Xenopus tropicalis: one gene and its partner. The protein of the gene in region 1 purifies or fractionates together with the protein of each later gene. This does not show direct contact. Links are inferred from orthologs where the notes say so. Each region holds a gene or a part of one and is shown on either strand. Other genes may lie near its edges. The genes, in order: atxn2l and lsm12.

What was found.
Region 2: the proteins of atxn2l (region 1) and lsm12 purify together in Homo sapiens (affinity purification with mass spectrometry; 4 studies listed by BioGRID and IntAct, with this or other methods). This does not show direct contact. The link is inferred for Xenopus tropicalis from reciprocal best matches to the Homo sapiens genes ATXN2L and LSM12.

The regions. Positions count from the first base shown.
Region 1 is NC_030685.2:382,441-386,959, reverse strand, and holds the start of atxn2l (ataxin-2-like protein), read left to right. Parts: upstream 1-1,534; 5' UTR 1,535-1,625; coding exon 1,626-1,762; intron 1,763-4,519. UniProt on the Homo sapiens protein: Involved in the regulation of stress granule and P-body formation.
Region 2 is NC_030686.2:18,353,083-18,356,897, reverse strand, and holds part of lsm12 (protein LSM12 homolog), read left to right. Parts: intron 1-216; coding exon 217-350; intron 351-705; coding exon 706-815; intron 816-3,815. UniProt on the Homo sapiens protein: Nicotinic acid adenine dinucleotide phosphate (NAADP) binding protein. Confers NAADP sensitivity to the two pore channel complex (TPCs) by acting as TPC accessory protein necessary for NAADP-evoked Ca(2+) release.

The DNA of each region.
Region 1 (4,519 bases):
CTTGGTGTCGCCCTGTTCCCTGGCTCATCTCTCAGTGCCCCATGCCTAGCTGCCAGTCTTGGTGTCTCTGTCATTTCACACTGGTCTGTCTCTTGGTGTCGCCCTGTTCCCTGGCTCATCTCTCAGTGCCCCATGCCTAGCTGCCAGTCTTGGCGTCTCTCTCATTTCACACTGGTCTGTCTCGTGGTGTCGCCGCTCTCTTCCCTGGCTCATCTCTCAGTGCCCCATGCCTAGCTGCCAGTCTTGGCGTCTCTCTCATTTCACACTGGTCTGTCTCTTGGTGTCGCCCTGTTCCCTGGCTCATCTCTCAGTGCCCCATGCCTAGCTGCCAGTCTTGGTGTCTCTCTCATTTCACACTGGTCTGTCTCTTGGTGTCGCCGCTCTCTTCCCTGGCTCATCTCTCAGTGCCCCATGCCTAGCTGCCAGTCTTGGGGTCTCTCTCATTTCACACTGGACTGTCTCTTGGTGTCGCCGCTCTCTTCCCTGGCTTGTCTCAGTAGCAGCGGCTGCTGTATCGCTATTGCTGTGCCCAGGTTGATGCCAGTTTATTAGCTGGTATATCGGTAGTGCCATAGACACACACAGTGCCCAGTGGGGTCAGTATATAATAATAATAATAATATGAAACCGTGCCACCAGGGTTACATGCTAATGGCCGCCTCTCCCTCCCAGCCTGTGTCTGTGCCGCTTTGTCTATAAATACCAACTTACGCTCATGTTTGCCCCGCCAACCCACTAGGTACCTATAGGTATTTAACCCAATCTGCCTGTATCAATGCCACAAAGCCTTTGGCTCCTCCCCCATCATTGCTTTCCCTCCTATGGACTCCCAAAACCTCTAAACCAAACCCCTGACACTCCATGGAGCAGCATGTGTTTAATAGTGATGTGGGAGACGGCAAGGGAACCCCCAAAACCCACTGGCGAAGGAATAGAATGCAGAGTTCCCCCCTCCCCCATTTCCCGCTTGCGGAAGGATCCGCCCACTGCAGTGTCGCATCACACCCTGTCTGTGTGGCGCGGGCGGAGGGATACGGGCTGGGGGTGGTGAGTCTGTGCTTAAGTGGCGCGGAAGGAGGCATATGCCGGTGGGCGGGGCTAGGGAGAGTGACGCCTTGGGGGAATGGGAGCCGCAGTGTGTAGCTGCCCGAGGGTCGCTGAGAGGCGTGGCTTCCGCACGGTACCGGCTACAACACTAAGGCTTCCCTCCGGTCAGTGTGGCCCTTTCTATATAGTGTGAGAGGTCACCGCGGTAGCCACCTCACAGCCCCGCCCCTTCCCCTCTCTAATGTACGCGCAGCAGGGACTGGCCGCCTATTGGTTCGTGTCAGTGTTGTCCCGCCTCCTGAGCAGACTCCCATTGGTGTGAGTGGCGGGTGGGGGGGTTGCGTTCCATCTTCTTTCTCATTGGGCGGCTGTGCGGGCATTGCATTTGATTGGCTTGTCGGCGTTGTTCCTTCCTGCAGCGCTGCGCGCTATTGGTTGCTGGGAGCCCCGCCCGGTTCACACGCAGTGTGTCGCGGCGGCGGTTAGAGTGAGGTAGGCGGGCGCCGCTTCATTCTGACCCTTCAGCCGTCGGTTCCCGTGTTTTGCCCCCCGTGCCCCGGTCCGACCCCCGGCGGAATATGCTGAAGCAGCAACAGGCCCCTCCCAGCCGCAAACCGGCCATGGCCCCGGCTCAGCAGCAAGGATCCCCCGGCAGCCCTAACGGGAACCTCCCCCCAGGCGGGAGCAGAAGCCAGGACAGGCCCGGAGCCGGCAGGTAAGCACTCGGGGCCCGGCTGGGGAGAACGCTTTACCGGCAGCCCTATGTGAGTGACTGGCGGCGCGGCCAATCACAGGCCGACTGTGCCGGGGACGGGGCGGGGCCCCGGGTCACGTGGGGATTGCAGGCCCTGGGTTTGTTCCCTGCCCTCCCGGGGTCTCCCCGGTACCCCCCCCCCCCCGGCACCCACTGTGGCCGCACACTAATCCTCTGGGTCTATTCCTTCCCATTCACCCGGGGGGGGCACTTAACCCTCCCCCCCCCAATATTGTGCTGCCCCCTCCCTCACGAATGCCCCCTGCCTCACTAATGCCCCCTGCCTCACCAATGCCCCCTGCCTCACGAATGCCCCCTGCCTCACGAATGCCCCCTGCCTCACGAATGCCCCCTGCCTCACGAATGCCCCCATCCTCACCAATGCCCCCATCCTCACTAATGCCCCCTGCCTCACTAATGCCCCCTGCCTCACTAATGCCCCTGCCTCACTAATGCCCCCTGCCTCACTAATGCCCCCTGCCTCACCAATGCCCCCTGCCTCACGAATGCCCCCTGCCTCACCAATGCCCCCTGCCTCACCAATGCCCCCTGCCTCACCAATGCCCCCTGCCTCACCAATGCCCCCTGCCTCACCAATGCCCCTGCCTCACCAATGCCCCCTGCCTCACCAATGCCCCCTGCCTCACCAATGCCCCCTGCCTCACGAATGCCCCCTGCCTCACCAATGCCCCCTGCCTCACCAATGCCCCCTGCCTCACGAATGCCCCCTGCCTCACGAATGCCCCCTGCCTCACGAATGCCCCCTGCCTCACCAATGCCCCCTGCCTCACGAATGCCCCCTGCCTCACTAATGCCCCCTGCCTCACGAATGCCCCCTGCCTCACCAATGCCCCCTGCCTCACCAATGCCCCCTGCCTCACCAATGCCCCCTGCCTCACCAATGCCCCCTGCATCTCTTACCGCCTGCTACCTGCCCACTTACCCCATGTATAAACCCCTGCCAGGGGCACATAGTGTGTAGCCCATTGGATCCCCTACTACCTGCCCACTTACCCCATGTAGGTGCCCTATAAACCCCTGCCAGGGGCACGTAGTGTGTAGCCCATTGGATCCCCTGCTACCTGACCACTTACCCCATGTATAAACCCCTGCCAGGGGCACGTAGTGTGTAGCCCATTGGATCCCCTGCTACCTGCCCACTTACCCCATGTAGGTGCCCTATAAACCCCTGCCAGGGGCACGTAGTGTGTAGCCCATTGGATCCCCTGCTACCTGCCCACTTACCCCATGTATAAACCCCTGCCAGGGGCACGTAGTGTGTAGCCCATTGGATCCCCTGCTACCTGCCCACTTACCCCATGTAGGTGCCCTATAAACCCCTGCCAGGGGCACGTAGTGTGTAGCCCATTGGATCCCCTGCTACCTGACCACTTACCCCATGTATAAACCCCTGCCAGGGGCACGTAGTGTGTAGCCCATTAGATCCCCTGCTACCTGCCCACTTACCCCATGTATAAACCCCTGCCAGGGGCACGTAGTGTGTAGCCCATTAGATCCCCTGCTACCTGCCCACTTACCCCATGTAGGTGCCCTATAAACCCCTGCCAGGGGCACGTAGTGTGTAGCCCATTAGATCGCCTGCTACCTGCCCACTTACCCCATGTATAAACCCCTGCCAGGGGCACGTAGTGTGTAGCCCATTAGATCCCCTGCTACCTGCCCACTTACCCCATGTAGGTGCTCTATAAACCCCTGCCAGGGGCACGTAGTGTGTAGCCCATTAGATCCCCTGCTACCTGCCCACTTACCCCATGTATAAACCCCTGCCAGGGGCACGTAGTATGTAGCCCATTTGTAGCCCATTAGATCCCCTGCTACCTGCCCACTTACCCCATGTAGGTGCCCTATAAACCCCTGCCAGGGGCACATAGTGTGTAGCCCATTAGATCCCCTGCTACCTGCCCACTTACCCCATGTAGGTGCCCTGTAAACCCCTGCCAGGGGCACGTAGTGTGTAGCCCATTAGATCCCCTGCTACCTGCCCACTTACCCCATGTAGGTGCCCTATAAACCCCTGCCAGGGGCACATAGTGTGTAGCCCATTAGATCCCCTGCTACCTGCCCACTTACCCCATGTAGGTGCCCTATAAACCCCTGCCAGGGGCACGTAGTGTGTAGCCCATTAGATCCCCTGCTACCTGCCCACTTACCCCATGTAGGTGCCCTGTAAACCCCTGCCAGGGGCACGTAGTGTGTAGCCCATTAGATCCCCTGCTACCTGCCCACTTACCCCATGTAGGTGCCCTATAAACCCCTGCCAGGGGCACGTAGTGTGTAGCCCATTAGATCCCCTGCTACCTGCCCACTTACCCCATGTATAAACCCCTGCCAGGGGCACATAGTGTGTAGCCCATTAGATCCCCTGCTACCTGCCCACTTACCCCATGTAGGTGCCCTATAAACCCCTGCCAGGGGCACGTAGTGTGTAGCCCATTAGATCCCCTGCTACCTGCCCACTTACCCCATGTAGGTGCTCTATAAACCCCTGCCAGGGGCACGTAGTGTGTGGCCCATTAGATCCCCTGCTACCTGCCCACTTACCCCATGTAGGTGCCCTATAAACCCCTGCCAGGGGCACGTAGTGTGTAGCCCATTAGATCCCCTGCTACCTGCCCACTTACCCCATGTAGGTGCCCTATAAACCCCTGCCAGGGGCACGTAGTATTTAGCCCATTAGATCCCCTACTACCTGCCCAC
Region 2 (3,815 bases), on another chromosome or scaffold:
TGCATTTGAACCAAATAGATTACTCCGTTTATAATTGTTAGCTGATTAGGAACACAGACCGAGATAGCAGACCTGTAGAAGACATAATTTCTTTTTTTACCCGTGAGCCGATCAACTGACTGGGTAGCTTTGTTTTGTTTTTTTGTTTTTTTAAATGAGCTGTGTGCTTAAGTGCTGCCCTTTCTGTGCTCTTTTCCTTAACCTCCTTTTCTGCAGAGTGCCCCTCCTCCAGTGGGAAGCCCAACCATGCTGATATCCTTCTCCTGAATTTGGACTATGTGTCTGACGTAGAGGTGATAAACGAAAGAACACAGACCCCACCGCCCTTAGCCTCTCTCAATATCACCAAGGTAGGAACCTATTTGCAATTTAATATATTGTCATTTTCCAAACTTCTGATTTGAATGTTGCGGTTTGTTTTGTGTTTGCTACACTGGTGGTCACCTTACATTTAGTCAGTATTTAATAATATTCTTTATATAGCACTTTATCACATTTACAACTATGGTCAATTTTATCTGGTGCCAGCTAACCTGCCTGTATGTTTTCAGTGTGTGGGAGTGTACCTGAGTACCAGGACACCATGAAAGCAAGGGGGTTATATACAAACTCCTTGCAGATAGTTTCCCAGCTTTATTTCAGCCTATTGACCCCAGCTTTTGTACTGAGTAAAACTAAGTAAATCTTTTGCTGTTATGTCTGCAGCTTGCCAGCAGAGCTCGCTTAGAGAAGGAAGAGAAGTTGAGCCAGGCCTACGCTATCAGTGCTGGAGTGTCACTGGATGGACAGCAACTTTTTCAGACCATTCATAAGACGTGAGTCTTCACCACTAACCATCTTTGTCAGATACCATGAGCAGATGCAGAGGTGCACTCGCAGGAGCAGAATCAAATTTACATTCTGTATAAGCATCTGTTGTACTTCATTTAAGATTGTAGTTGCACATTCCTCCTCATAGTTTTACGGCTGTCTGTTGTCTGGCAAAAGTGATCAGACAGGAAGCTCTAGGATATTTTTGAAGACATTTTCTTGAGTGAGTCCCTTATTTGTCCAAGTTTAAATACACACTGACCTGATAGGGAACTGAAGCCTGTATTTGCTTGTGTGACTGCAGGGCTCTGATTGGCTACTTCCTTCCTACTGTGCTATTGGCAGGGATCATTAGGACATGCCCACCCCTTGTTTGAATTGGAGAGACACCTGATAGGGTCTATAGCAGTGTTCCCCAACCAGTGGCTCGGGGGCAACATGTTGCTCACCAACCCCTTGGATGTTGGCTCTCCGTTCCCCCAAACCTGGTAGTTATTTTTGAATTCCTGACTTACTAGATATACCATGACCTGCATGAATGAAAATCTTCATAGTCGACTTAGATACAAGTTTTGGTTGAATAAAAATAAGATTTACTCCCAAATAAAGTCTCCTGTAATCTGATAGTGTCCCTTCCATGAACTTTTATGGTGCTTGTGTTGCTCTCCAAGTCTTTATACGTTTTAGAGCAATCTTTATAAGTTTTAGAGCAATATAAAACCAGCACCATATATTATTCATAATTGCCTTCAAGATTAATGTTTATTTCTATTTGTCCAATATGTCTCCTTTAATGTGCACAAAACAGCCCCTGCATGTGTACAACAGGAAATCTGTTCTTGCTTTTGGGACAGGCACTATATAGCAGGGCTGTGGAGTCGGAGGTAATTTTGGGTACCTGGAGTCGGCAAAAAATGAACCGACTCCTACTAAATTTAAATGGGAATAAAAAAAATAAAGCAAGTTTAAATGTCCCAATTCACAAACAGTCATAATTAATTACTTGGGCAATACAGTAGAGTGTTGGCTTCCTAGCCAGTAGTTCTGTGGTTAAATGACATGTATGTCTCCTTCCTTTCCTTCAATGAATGTATAAAATACATTAGCATATTAAAAACAGAGGAGTCGGAAGTATCAGAAACTGAGGAGTCGGAGAATTTATCTACCGACTCCACAGCCCTGCTATATAGCATTGAAAGTGGTTAAATTATAAAGCAGCTCTGTGACAGCAGTGAGTTGGTAACCCTAAGCATTATGATGCATTAGGTGCTCATTAATTACATGTAACATCAACTAATTCATGTTTGCTAGAGATTAAAAGGTGAAAATTTTAGGACAATACGAAAGTGACAAAAACAAGACATCTAGGTTGCCAGTGCCTGCCGGAACTGGGTTCTGATTTCCACTCTCTAATGTTAAAGGAGCTTCAGTAAGCTGTTCTCCACTTGTAGCTGATGGGGGTGGTGGTGTTGACAATAAGATCCTTATGTATATCAAGGCTGTCCATCTTGGGCTGCTTCAGAAGATTTGACTATCCAAGGTGTTTTGAGCCCCAGCCGGCCTATGTATGAAATGGCCTTTTTTTTTTTTTAAATGATTTAATATATATATCACCTTGGTACCACTACATAGAAACCTTCTGAATGCTCTGCAATAGTCAGAGAAAGGAGAATTGATCACTGATTTGAAGTATTTCAGTAAGGACCTGCTTTCATTGTGTTCAGCCATGTTTCTAAAAAGGAAAAGTAGCTCAAAATGTAACTTCGTATTTGGCTCCTCTAAATACTGTTAAGATATGTAACTTTAAAAAAAATTGCAATGTTATAAGTGGTTTTTGAATAAAATACATTACCACTAATTTATAGGGCAAAAGAAAAGACAAGTTAATTTGCTGCATTCTTTAGAGTTTTCAGAGTCCGTCTAATGAGTGATTTATGGGTTTTACTGCAATGGTGGGAGAGAGCTGCTGCCTGAACTTATACTATTGAAATTTTGCTATGCTGTATTTGCTAATAAAAGTATTGAGAGGGTATTTGAATTTTAAAAAATGTTACAATTCCTTTAAAGGGCAGTTCCTTATTCAACATTAACTCAATTTATAGGGCGTGAGCTTAAAGGGGTTGTTCACCTATGAGCTAAGTTTTAGTGTGATGTAATATCCTGAGACAATTTCCTCTTGGGTCATTTTTTATTTGCAGTTTTTTAATTATTTCAATTAGGGATGCACAGAATGCACTTTTGTAAGGATTTGGCCATTTACCGAATCCTAATTAGGTTTTGGAAGGGTTAAAAATGGAAACAATTTTCAACTTCCGTGTAAACGTGGCCAAGTCATATGATTTTTAGGATTCGGATTTGGTTCAGCCAGAGGCATGGATTCGGCCGAATCCCGAACTGAATCCTGGATTTGGTGAATCCCTAACTTCAATTTTTGTTCGGCAACTCTCCAGTTTGAAGTTTCAGTAGCTGTCTGGTTGCTAGGGTTCAAATTACCTTAGCATCCAGGGAGTGGTTTGAATGAGAAACTGGTATATAAAAAGAATAAGAAGTAACAATAACAGTAAAACTATAGCCTCACAAAGCAATAGTTTTTTGGCTGCGGAGGTCAGTGACCAATTTTAGAAGGAGACAATTCAAAATCTATAACAAATAAATAATGAAGACCAATTACAGTTGCTCAGAATCGGCCATTTTACAACATAACAAAAGTTAATTTAAAAGTGAACCACCCCTTTAAAGGGCACCTAGTACAGGTATAGGACCGATTATCCAGAATGCTCGGGACCAAGGGTATTCCGAAAAAAGGGGTCTTTCTATAATTTGGATCTCTATACCTTAAGTCTACAAAAAATCAATAAAACATTAATCAAACCCCATAAGATTGTTTTGCATCCAATAAGGATTAATTATATCTTAGTTGGGATCAAGTACAGGTACTGTTTTATTATTACAGAGAAAAGGGAATCATTTAACCATTAAATAAACCCAATAGGGCTGTTCTGCCC